Linked DNA regions of Struthio camelus. The protein of the gene in region 2 purifies or fractionates together with the protein of the main gene of each other region. This does not show direct contact. Links are inferred from orthologs where the notes say so. Each region holds a gene or a part of one and is shown on either strand. Other genes may lie near its edges. The genes, in order: MED13L, MED9 and MED25.

Region 1 (3,741 bases), on a different chromosome or scaffold from region 2:
TCACAGCAGATTATAACTGTTTCAGAAGCATAATTCTGCAGTCAAGAACATTACTTTTTGACTCAAACCCAAAACAACGCCTGAGATAAAAATTTAACATTCAATTCTAATAGCAGAATCAGTTTAAATACAGCTTTGCAATCCACCTCGTTCCTAAAGAACGGACGATTCCCCGTTAACAGTTGATTAGTTTGTGCATGTTTTTGTTCTGTTGCATTGAAAAAGTAAGTAATCAGCAAGAGCGTCTTTAATTAGTAATCCAGACTACCGTAGCTTTAACACATGGTAAGTTTTGAGACAAGTATGACAATTTGAGGTTAAAGGGTCAATGCTTCTGACCAGATATTTCCAATCAGTATTTCCTTTCTCAATACGGTGAGACTTTCATTGATAAATATGGCCTAATGAATACTAATGCTATTGGAAATAAATCACCCTAATAATTACTGTGTTTGTATATACGTGCTTATATAAAAATATTATTTCATCAGTTATTTTTTGCAAGTAGAGCCAGAAAAGAATAAAACTATTATAGTTTCGTACATAGCACCACTTCACAGGTATGGTTAGTTCCCACAAAATTACATGGGAGATTTAGGGTTGCAGATTAGACCTATTACTAAAACACTTTCAAAAGAACTCTGCAAAATTTATTTCACCAATATTACAGGTGCATTTAAAAATTTTCAATGTTTCCTCAGCCTAGTACGGTGAAATAAAACAGAATAGATAGATGCAACCACAATAACCATGAAATAACTTAATGTTATAATTTATGCTAATTGAGCACCAACATTATTTCACCAGTGACAGATTTGTGGATTGCAACTACATGAAAAGTTATGCTTCTCGAAAACATGCTAATCAATTTTCCATGAATTAATAGGGATTGCACAATTTGATTTTTTTTGTGAAAGAGTAACTATCCATTATCTTGCTCTTGCAATCAGATACAACCATCTCCCTCATGCTTATCATTTTATTTTTCTTAGTGTGTAAGACCAGTGTATTCAAAAAAAATCACCATTACAATTCCTGCAGCATTCTTATATACTTCTAAATATCAGAAAACACTATCACAAACAGAAACGTAAATATGAGCCTAAATAATGTCTAACTGTTCAATAAAAAGCCAAAATAAGAATTTTATTTATTCTCACAGAAGAATCTCCAGGCCAGCTTCCTAGCAGAACACACAGGCATAGACTACGGCCCTTGTCCCAGATACTTAACAGATACAAGCCACATAAAAAACACACACATACAAATTAAAGAAAACAGAGGCAGAAGAATGATAGGCCATCACACAGCAAAAAGACTGATCATCTGCATTTTCAATTCACTTTCTTTTTTCCTTAATTCTTATAAATGCAATAACAGTCATTTCCTTTCTTTTGAAAAAAAAAATCAAATATATGTATCTACCTTCAATTCTTACAGAGCACTGGGGAGGGCAAAGGGTTTTATCCACCACAAATCTTTCATACATTTATCCCCAAACTTACACTGCAAGTTTTTGTTTTAACTATACTATAACACGCATTAAAAAAATCCCTCCTTCCCCTAGACATTGGCCCTAGCAGCACTAGAAGACTGTTGGTGATCTAACAGTCTTGTCACTCGCTGATCTGTTGTCCGCTCTGAAGGGATAAGGTTGCTGCAGGTGGCCGGTAAAATAAAGCAAGACATTTCCAAGTGACATTGCCTTTATACAAAAACTAATGGTTTTCTTGTTTTAAATTCATACAGACCCTGTAGCTAGTCACAACTGATACCACGATTTTTGTAAAATTATACCATGCAATGCAAGTACAAGTTGTCAGTTACCAACCAGAGGGGATGACAGCACCTAGATCATCAAGCTATCCAGCATACTACATTTTCAGCTACCGTTTTTCTTCTGAAAACAAAAAATTAAAAGCTTCTTTTTTTTTTTTTTAAATCTCTTGTCCCCAACCACAACCTGTTCAAAGAAGGGTCAAAACAGCTGGCATCTAGTCAGGAGAGCCCAGAGGTAAGTCCGAGAGGCAGTCACGCTACGCAAACTGTTCGCTGCTGCTGAAATGGCGTTTGCCATTATGAAAGAAGAAGAGGGGAGGAAAAAAAAAAAACCCACAGTTTGGTAGGCACAAAGCACCAGGGCACGGAGTGCCAAGGGAGGCGGGGAGAAAAGACTGTTTACCAGAGAAGATGGTCGCACATGCCGGGCACACACGCAGACACGCAGGCACTCCCGCAGCCCGGCGAACGCAGCTGTGCGAGGAACACACGCACACTCGCGGCAAGCCACGTTAAAGAGCAAAATAAACACGGGGCGCCGAGCCGGGGGAGGGGCCAGCGCAGGAGCAGCCCCACGGGCCCCGACTATAAAGCCCCCGGCAGCTGCACCCAGCCGGCAAACTTGCCGCGCCGCCCACCCCTGCGGGGGCTCACGCAGGCACTCACCAGCGAGAAGAGGTTGGAGTGACAGTCCTCCAGGCTGGCCCCGTTCGCCACCCAGTTCGCCGCTGCAGTCATGATCCTCGGCGAGCCCGGCCGCCAGAGCGGGGCATGTCTGAGGAGACGGGCCCGGCAGGCAGGGAGAAGCACCGGCCACTCCGCGACGCAGCCCGCTCCTGCGGTCGCCGGGCCGGCAGCCGCTGTCCTGCCCCCGGCCGCGGCCGGCAGGGGGCGCCGGGCGGGCGGGGGGGGGGGGGGGGGCGGACGGCGCCCCGGCGGCGGGCGGGCGGGCGCCGAGGCGGCGGCGGCCGCGCTCCTCCTCAGCCGGCCCCCGCCAAACGGTGCTCGGGGCGGGCGGCGCGGCCCGGCAGGGGCCCCCGCGGGCCGGCTACGCGGCCGCTCCGCTCCCGGCCGCTCGGCGCCGCGCGGGGCGACGCCTCCTGCGCTGCTCCAGGCCGCCGCGGCACCGCCGGGCGGAGGAGGAGGAGGAGAAGGGGGGGGGCGCCCGGGGCCCCGCTTCCGTGTCCAGGTCGGGCCCCCCCCCGCTCAGGGCGCACGTTGCGGTGAAGGGGGGGCGAGGGCGGCGGCCCCCCCGCGGCGGCGGCCCCTACCGCGCACGGGCCGGGCGGGCGGGCGGGCGGCGGGGGAGGGTCGCGGGCCCCGGGCGGCGGCGGCGGCCGCGGGGGGGGCGCTGTCTCGCGGGCCGGCGGAGGCCGTGTCCCCTCCCTCCCTCCCCGCCCGGCCGCCCCTCGCTGCTGCCGCCGCTGGCTGCGGGTGGATGGTGTTTTCCTCCTCCTCCTCCTCCTCCTCCTGCTGCTGCTGTTGCCGCCGCCGCCGCCTTGTTTACGCTCCGTGCGGGGCCCCCGGCGCTGCGGGCGGCGGGCGGCAGCCGCGGCCCGGAGAGGGAGCACTGTCCCTGCCCGTCTTCGCCACCCTCCGCCTGGCGCTGCCCGCCCAGCGGCCCCGCTCACCAGCTCCTCCTCACACACTCGCCTCTGCCTCTCGCCACTCTGACAGCAATGGCGGCCGCCAGGCGCAGCGCGCCTCGCCATTGGCCGCCGCCGCCCCACGTGACGCGCGCCGGAGGGCGGGGGCCCGGCGCTGGGGCTCCCTCCCGCGGCCCCTCCCTCACCCCGCCGCGGCGCCCGCCGGGCCGCTGGGGGCGCGCGGGAGCGCGAGCGCGAGCGGGAGCGGGAGCGCGAGCGCGGCGCCGCCGCCGGTGCGGGGGGAGGGGGGAGGGGGCGGGCGCCGCCGCCGCCGCCGCCCTCGACGCCTCGCGACCCCGCGAACCTCGCGGCGTCC
Region 2 (3,741 bases):
TCAGGACCCATGTACAAGTACCTTTTACCCCTAAAACTGATCTTGAACCAGGAAGAGAACAATTCAACCTCCACCACTGTAAAAGCCTTCTTCCTCTTTACAACACCCTAGAAATGGACTGCATTTCTGTGCTGGGACTGCCTGTACTTTCTGAGGCTGTTATCAGCCAAACAGTAGAGCAGTTTGGGGCAATAACACAGCACCAGTCCAATGCTCTCTGCTCGAGGGTGTATAACAACGGGGCAGCGTACCTGGGCCATCAGAATAACCTGCATCGCCTGGATCATCCGTACGCTGCCATGTACTGGCGTGGCTCACCACGGAGCCGCGTGTGGGACTACGCCACCTCCCTGTAACACCTTCCCCAGCAACCCCAGTCAGGAGAACAAGGGGGTCTGCAGCAAAGGAAACGCTGGGGGCGGTCAAAGAGTATCACTGTGGGGAAGGAAGGTCCCACTGCCCTGCTCCCTGTCCAGGGCGCGCAGGAGGAGGCCGCAATCGGGAAGACGGAGAAGGGCCGGAGCAGGGATAAGGCACCTGGGCAGAGGAATGGGGAGCAGGCCTGGTGCAGGGCTGCCCCTGCAATGAGGTGCCCGGTGACAGGCCCAGACCCAGTTGCCCCCATGATGAGGGGTGCCTGATGACAAGACCAGGCCCAGTGTACCCACCACGAGGCATGTGGTGACAGGCCCGGGCCCGGTGCATCCACCATAAGGTGCCCAGTGATGGACCAGGCCCGGACCCCCATGACGAGGTGCCAGTGACATGGATCGGGCCCAGGGCCCTGTGACGAGGCGCCGGTGACATAGACTGGGCCTGGGCCCTGTGACGAGGGCTTGGTGACACAGACCGGGCCCAGACCCCCATGACGAGGGGGCTGGTGACACGGACCGGGCCCAGTGCACCCACCATGAGGTGCCCAGTGATGGACCAGGCCCAGGCCCCCATGACGAGGGACTGGTGACACGGACCAGGCCCGGGGCCCCAGGACGAGGGGCTGGTGACACGGACCGGCCCCGGACCCCGTGACGAGGGGTCCGGTGACACGGACCGGGCTGCTGTGATGAGGGGTCGGTGACATGGAGCAGACCCCCGGGACGAGGCGCCGGTGACACGGACCGGACCCCCGGGACGAGGGGCCGGTGACATGGACCGGGCCCAGTGCACCCACCATGAGGTGCTCAGTGATGGACCAGGGCCAGGCCCCCATGACAAGGGGCTGGTGACACAGACTGGGCCCAGATCCCCGGGACGAGGGGCTCGGTGACACGGACCGGACCCCCATGACCAGGGGGCCAGTGGCATGGACCAGGGCCGGACCCCCGGGACGAAGGGTCGGTGACACGGATCGGGCCCGGACCCCCGGGACGAAGGGGTTGGTGATACGGACCAGACCCTCGAGACCAGGGGGCCGGTGACACGGACCGGACCCCCATGACCAGGGGGCCGGTGACACGGACCAGGGCTGGTCCCCCAGGACAAGGGGGCCGGTGACACGGACCAGGCCCAGTGCACCCACCATAAGGTGCCCAGTGATGGACCAGGCCCGGGCCCCCATGACGAGGGACTGGTGACATGGAGCAGGCCCGGACCCCGTGACGAGGGGCTGGTGACACGGAGCGGGCCCAGGGCCCCAGGACGAGGGGCTGGTGACATGGACCAGGCCCCCATGATGAGGGGGCTGGTGACACGGACCAGACTCCCAGGACGAGGGGTCGGTGACACAGACCAGGCCCCCGGGACGAAGTGCCGGTGACACGGACCGGCCCCCGGGACGAGGAGCCGGTGACACGGACGGGGCCCGGGGCCCCATGACGAGGGCTTGGTGACACGGATCAGACCCCCGGGACGAGGGGGCTGGTGGCACGGACTGGGCCCAGTGCACCCACCATGAGGTGCCCAGTGATGGACCAGGCCTGGGCCCCCATGACGAGGGGCCGGTGACACGGACCGGGCCCAGGGCCCCACGACGAGGGGCCGGTGACACGGAGCAGGCCCAGAGCCCCCACGACGAGGGCCGGTGACACGGACCGGACCCCCGTCACGAGGGCCGGTGACACGGACCAGGCCCAGGGCCCTGTGACGAGGGGCTGGTGACACAGACTGGGCCCCACGAAAAGGCGCCGGTGACACGGACCGGCCCCCGTGACGAGGGCTGGTGACACGGACCAGGCCCAGGGCCCCGTGAAAAGGCGCCGGTGACACGGACCGGACCCCCGTGACGAGGGCCGGTGACACGGACCAGGCCCAGGGCCCCATGAAAAGGCGCCGGTGACACGGACCGGGCCCCACGACGAGGGGCCGGTGACACGGACTGGGCCCCGTGACGAGGGGCCGGTGACACGGAGCGGGCCCAGAGTTCCACGACGAGGGGCCGGTGACACGGACTGGGCCCCGTCACGAGGGCCGGTGACACGGACCAGGCCCAGAGTCCCACGACGAGGGGCCGGTGACACGGACCGGACCCCCGTCACGAGGGCCGGTGACACGGACCAGGCCCAGGGCCCCATGAAAAGGCGCCGGTGACACGGACCGGGCCCCGTGACGAGGCGCCGGTGACGGACCGGGCCCGGTGGCACGCGGGGTGGCGGGCCCGCCGTTACCATTTGATGATGTCGTGGACGAGCGGGAGGAAGGAGAACTCCTCCTGCCCGGGCGGCGGCGGCGGCGGCGGCAGCAGCGGCGGCGGCAGCGGCAGCGGCGGTTTCGGCTCGGCCGGCGGCTCGGCCGGCGGCGGCTCCTCGGCGGCGCGGCCGGTGCCCCCCCCCGAGGCCATGGCGACCCCGGCCCCGGCCCGCGCCGCCGGCGCCGCGCGTGACGTCACGGGGCGGGGCTCCGCCTGCCCCGCCCCGCCCCCTGCCCACACTGCGCATGCGCGGCCCCGGGGCGGGCGGTTGAACCTGAGCTGCGGTGTGAGCCCGGGCCCGCGGCCGAGGCCTGAGCGTGGGGCTCTTCCCGGGGCCGGGGCCGGGGCCGGGGCCGGGGCCGGGGCCGGGGCCGGGGCCGGGGCCGGGGCCGGGGCCGGGGCCTGAACCTAGGGCTCTCCCTGGGGCCGGGGCCGGGGCCGGGGCCTGAACTTGAGGCTCTTCCCTGGGCCAGGGCCGGGGCCTGGGTCTGAACTTGGGGCCGGGGCCTAAACTTGCGGCCAGGGCCTGGGTCTGGGGCCAGGGCTGAGGTCTCAGGCCTGGGTCTGGGCCTGACTTGCGGTGTGGGTCTGGGCCTGAACTTGCAGCTGGGGCCTGGGATCTGAGGCTGGGGGTGGGGCTGGAGCAGCAGCTTTGCCGCACCGTCACTGAGACGGGCTGTGGGCTGCTGCGCGCCTGGCCGTCCTGCGAGGCGGGTGATACGGGGTGGTCCAGCAGGAGAAGGCTGGAGCTGAGCTGTTCTCTCCCAGCTGGGGGTGCGTTGTCCTGCGCAGGACCCAGCTCTGCACAGAAGGTGGGAAGCTGGAGGAAGGACAGAGTGGGGGATCCCGTAACCCAAGGGCGAAGAGCAGGAGGGGGTCCCAATAACAGCATGCTGCACTGCCCCCAGGGGCAGCTCCCAGCCCCTTAGCGAGAGCAGTCTGATTTCCTGAATCCCTGTGCACATCCCCCTCTTTTGTATTAATTCTTAGAGCAAAAATTGCATCATTCTCCATAGAACCAATAACTATTGCAGTCCTCAGGACAGCAGGGTTTGGCTGTGTCTGGCTAGCTTTTTGCACTAATGCTAGCATTTTGCACTGCTTTTCATTACTTG
Region 3 (3,741 bases), on a different chromosome or scaffold from region 2:
GGGGGTGAGTGGTTTGGGGGGGTTCTCAGGGGTTCGGGGGAGATTCTAGAGGATTTTGGGGGGCATCATGGGGTTTGGGGGGGCTCCAGGTGTTTTTGAGGGGGGTCCCTGAGGTTTGGGGGGCCCTGAGGGTGGGGAGGGCCAAGAATGTTGGGAGGATCCCCAAGAAATTGAGGGGGTTTCAAGGGGGGGTTGTAGAAGGTCCCCAGGGGTTTGGGCCGGCCCTGAGGAGTTTTGGGGGGTCCCTAAGGGTTTGGGGGGAATCTTAGAAGTTTTGGGGGGTCCCTAGGGGGCTTGGGGGGATCCTCAAGGGATGCAAGCAAGTTTTGGGGAACTTTCCATCATTTTGGATGGATCCTTTAGGAGTTGGGGGGGCCCCAAAGGTTTAAGGGGGGGAAACCTGGGGTTGGGGGCACCTACAAGGTTTTGAGGGGTCCCCAAGGTTTTTTGGGGGGCCCTCAAGGTTTTGGGGGGGGCTCAAAGGGCTTTGGGGACCCCCCCTGGGTTTTGAGAGGGGGGATCTCTTGGGATTTGGGGTGGCCCCGAGCTTTTTGTGGGGGGGGCTCCCCAAAATTTGGAGCCCCCTGGAAGCAGCAAGAGTTTTGGGGGCAATTCCCGGAGTTTAGGAAGGTCCTAGAGACTTCAGGGGGGTCCGCGGGGTTTCGGGGGGGCACCCAAAGTTTCGAGGGGGTCCCCAGGGTGTTGGGGGGGGGTGCAGGTTTTTTGGGGGGGGGGGGGGCTCACTCGATGGCGGGCAGCAGGTAGTGCTTGCGCAGGGCCTCGAAGTGGGGGCCCAGGTTGGCCGTGCCCTCCACCACGAACACCACGTCGGCCACCATGGCGGGGGGGGGCTCCAGCGCCGGCACCACCATGGCCCCCGCGGGTGCTGGCGGGGGGGGGGGGAAAAGGACAGCACCCATGGGACCCTCCCCGACACCCACGTGCCCCCCCCCAAACTCTCTTCTACCCACAGTTCTCGCCTGACGTGTGAGGCCCCCCCCGCCCCGGCACCCATGGACTCCCCTCAGTCCTCCTCTCCCCCCCCCAGCACCCATGGGGCCCCCTTAACCCTCCCCAGCACCCATGAGCCGCCCTCAGCCCCCAGGGACCCCCCTAGGACCCATAGGTGCCCCCGACACCCATAGGTGCCCCTCAACCCCCATGGACCCCCAACTCCCCCGGCACCTATAGACCCCCTTAACCCCCATAGAACCCCCACCCATAGTCCCCCCTAGACCCCTATGGACCCCCCCCCAGCACCTATAGACCCTCTCAAGGCCCATAGACCCCCCTTCCACCTATACACCCGCTCGACCCCAATGGGCCCCCCTCGACACCCCTAGCACCCATGAACCCTCCCTGGCACCCATAGACCCCCTCGACCCACACAGACCCCGCCAGCACCCGTGGGTCCCCCTTGACCCCCCCCCGGCATCCATAGACTCTTCCACCCCCACAGACCCCCCCCTGGCACCCATAGGACCCCTTTGACCTCCCCTAGTACCTATAGATCCCCATAACCCCCCCCTCGACCCCAGTGGGCACCCAAAGACCCCCTCAGCCCCCATAGAACCCCCCCGGCACCCATGGACCCCCTCAACCCCCCCAAAGAACCCCCCCGGCACCCATGGGCCCCCTCAACCCCCCATAGAACCCCCCCCCAGCACCCATGGGCCCCCTCAACCCCCACAGACCCCCCCCAGCACCCATAGGACCCCTTTGACCTCCCCTGGCACCTATAGATCCCCATAAGCCCCCCCTCAACCCCAGCGGGCACCCACAGACCCCCTCGACCCCCATATAGCCACTCAGCACCCATGGGCCCCCCTCGACCCCACCCGGCACCCATAGACCCTCTCAACCACCCCTGGCACCCACAGACCCCCTCGGCCCCCCCGGCACCCATGGGCCCCCTCAACCCCCACAGACCCCCCCCCAAGCACCCATGAGCCCCCTCAACCCCCCTAGACCCCCCAAGCACCCATGGGCCCCCTCAACCCCCACAGACCCCCCCGGCACCCATAGACCCCCCTCAACCCCCACAGACTCCCCCCAAGCACCCATGGGCCCCCTAGACCCCTCTAGACCCCCCCGGCACCCATAGACCCCCCTCAACCCCTCTAGACCCCCCCAAGCACCCATGGGCCCCCTAGACCCTGCTAGACCCCCCCGGCACCCATAGACCCCCCTCAACCCCTCTAGACCCCCCCGGCACCCATGGGCCCCCTCAACCCCCACAGACCCCCCCCAAGCACCCATGGGTCCCCTAGACCCCTCTAGACCCCCCCGGCACCCATAGACCCCCCTCAACCCCTCTAGACCCCCCCAAGCACCCATGGGCCCCCTCAACCCCTCTAGACCCCCCCGGCACCCATAGACCCCCTCGACTCGACCCCCCCCCGGCACCCATAGACCCCCCCCGCCGGCCACCGTACCGTCCACTTCCTCTTCGGCGCGAGCCGGCGGCTGCCGGAACTGCTCCCCTTCCGGTCCGCCCGCCGCCGCCGCGCATGCGCGGGGAGGGAGGGGCGGGGCGAGCCCTGGCCCCGCCTCCCCCGCCGTCGCCGCGGCAACCGCTTCGCTCCCGGCAGGCGCCGCGCGGCGCCAGCGCGCCGGACATGGCGGCGGCCGGCGGGGCCTGAGCGGCGGCACCGGCACCGGCACCGGCACCGGGGGCGGGGCCAAGAGCGGGGGCGGGGCGCGGGGGCGGGGCCTCAGCGGCAGTGGGGGGAGGAGGGGGGAAGGGGGCCGGGTACGGCCTGAGTGACAGGGCCGGGCTGGAGGGGGTGGGGCCTGAGGGGGCGGAGCCTGAGGGATAGGCGGGGCCTGAGGGGTCTGGGGCGGGGCCTGTAGGGGAGGGCGGAGTCTGACAGGGTGGGGAATTGGGTGGGGCCTATAGAGGAGGGTGGAGCCTGACAGGGCAGTGCCTTAGGGGTGGGGCTTGTAGGGGAGGGTGGAGCCTGACAGGGTGGGGCATTGGGGCGGGGCCTGTAGGGGAGGGCGGAGCCTGACAGGGTGGGGAATTGGGTGGGGCCTATAGAGGAGGGTGGAGCCTGACAGGGCAGTGCCTTAGGGGTGGGGCTTGTAGGGGAGGGTGGAGCCTGACAGGGTGGGGCATTGGGGCGGGGCCTGTAGGGGAGGGCGGAGCCTGACAGGGTGGGGAATTGGGTGGGGCCTATAGAGGAGGGTGGAGCCTGACAGGGCAGTGCCTTAGGGGTGGGGCTTGTAGGGGAGGGTGGAGCCTGACAGGGTGGGGCATTGGGGCGGGGCCTGTAGGGGAGGGCGGAGCCTGACAGGGTGGGGAATTGGGTGGGGCCTATAGAGGAGGGTGGAGCCTGACAGGGCGGTGCCTTAGGGGTGGGGCTTGTAGGGGAGGGCGGAGCCTGACAGGGTGGGGCATTGGGGCGGGGCTTGTAGGGGAGGGCAGGGCCTTGAGGGGGTGGAGCCAGGCAAAGAGGGCCTGAGGGGAGGGGCGGGGCCTGGTGGAGAGGGCGGGGCTCGGGCGAGAGGGGGCGGGGCCATGGCAGAGGGGGGCGGGGCCCTGTCCCTGCTCTGCCTGGCGGCCAGCAGCGGGGTGCCCCTCTTCTGCCGCTCCCGGGGCGGCCCCGCCCGGCAACAGGTGAGGAGCTCCGCCCCCCCCGGGGGGCCCAGGCGTCCGGGAGGGGCCCAGGTGTCCAGGGATGGACCCAGCTATCCGGGGGCCCAGGTGTCCGGGAGGGGCCCAGGCAGCTGGGAGGGGCC

What was found.
Region 1: the proteins of MED9 (region 2) and MED13L purify together in Homo sapiens (affinity purification with mass spectrometry; 5 studies listed by BioGRID and IntAct, with this or other methods). This does not show direct contact. The link is inferred for Struthio camelus from reciprocal best matches to the Homo sapiens genes MED9 and MED13L.
Region 3: the proteins of MED9 (region 2) and MED25 purify together in Homo sapiens (co-immunoprecipitation; 3 studies listed by BioGRID and IntAct, with this or other methods). This does not show direct contact. The link is inferred for Struthio camelus from reciprocal best matches to the Homo sapiens genes MED9 and MED25.

What each region holds. Positions count from the first base shown.
Region 1 is NC_090958.1:5,775,225-5,778,965, reverse strand, and holds the start of MED13L (mediator of RNA polymerase II transcription subunit 13-like), read right to left. Parts: upstream 2,654-3,741; 5' UTR 2,518-2,653; coding exon 2,446-2,517; intron 2,201-2,445; exon of another isoform or gene 2,183-2,200; intron 1-2,182. UniProt on the Homo sapiens protein: Component of the Mediator complex, a coactivator involved in the regulated transcription of nearly all RNA polymerase II-dependent genes.
Region 2 is NC_090956.1:3,992,882-3,996,622, forward strand, and holds the start of MED9 (mediator of RNA polymerase II transcription subunit 9), read right to left. Parts: upstream 2,777-3,741; coding exon 2,604-2,776; intron 1-2,603.
Region 3 is NW_027182651.1:79,608-83,348, reverse strand, and holds the start of MED25 (mediator of RNA polymerase II transcription subunit 25), read right to left. Parts: upstream 2,556-3,741; 5' UTR 2,436-2,555; intron 887-2,435; 5' UTR 873-886; coding exon 745-872; intron 1-744. Other genes in the region: FUZ (protein fuzzy homolog), read left to right, coding at 3,521-3,619. UniProt on the Homo sapiens protein: Component of the Mediator complex, a coactivator involved in the regulated transcription of nearly all RNA polymerase II-dependent genes.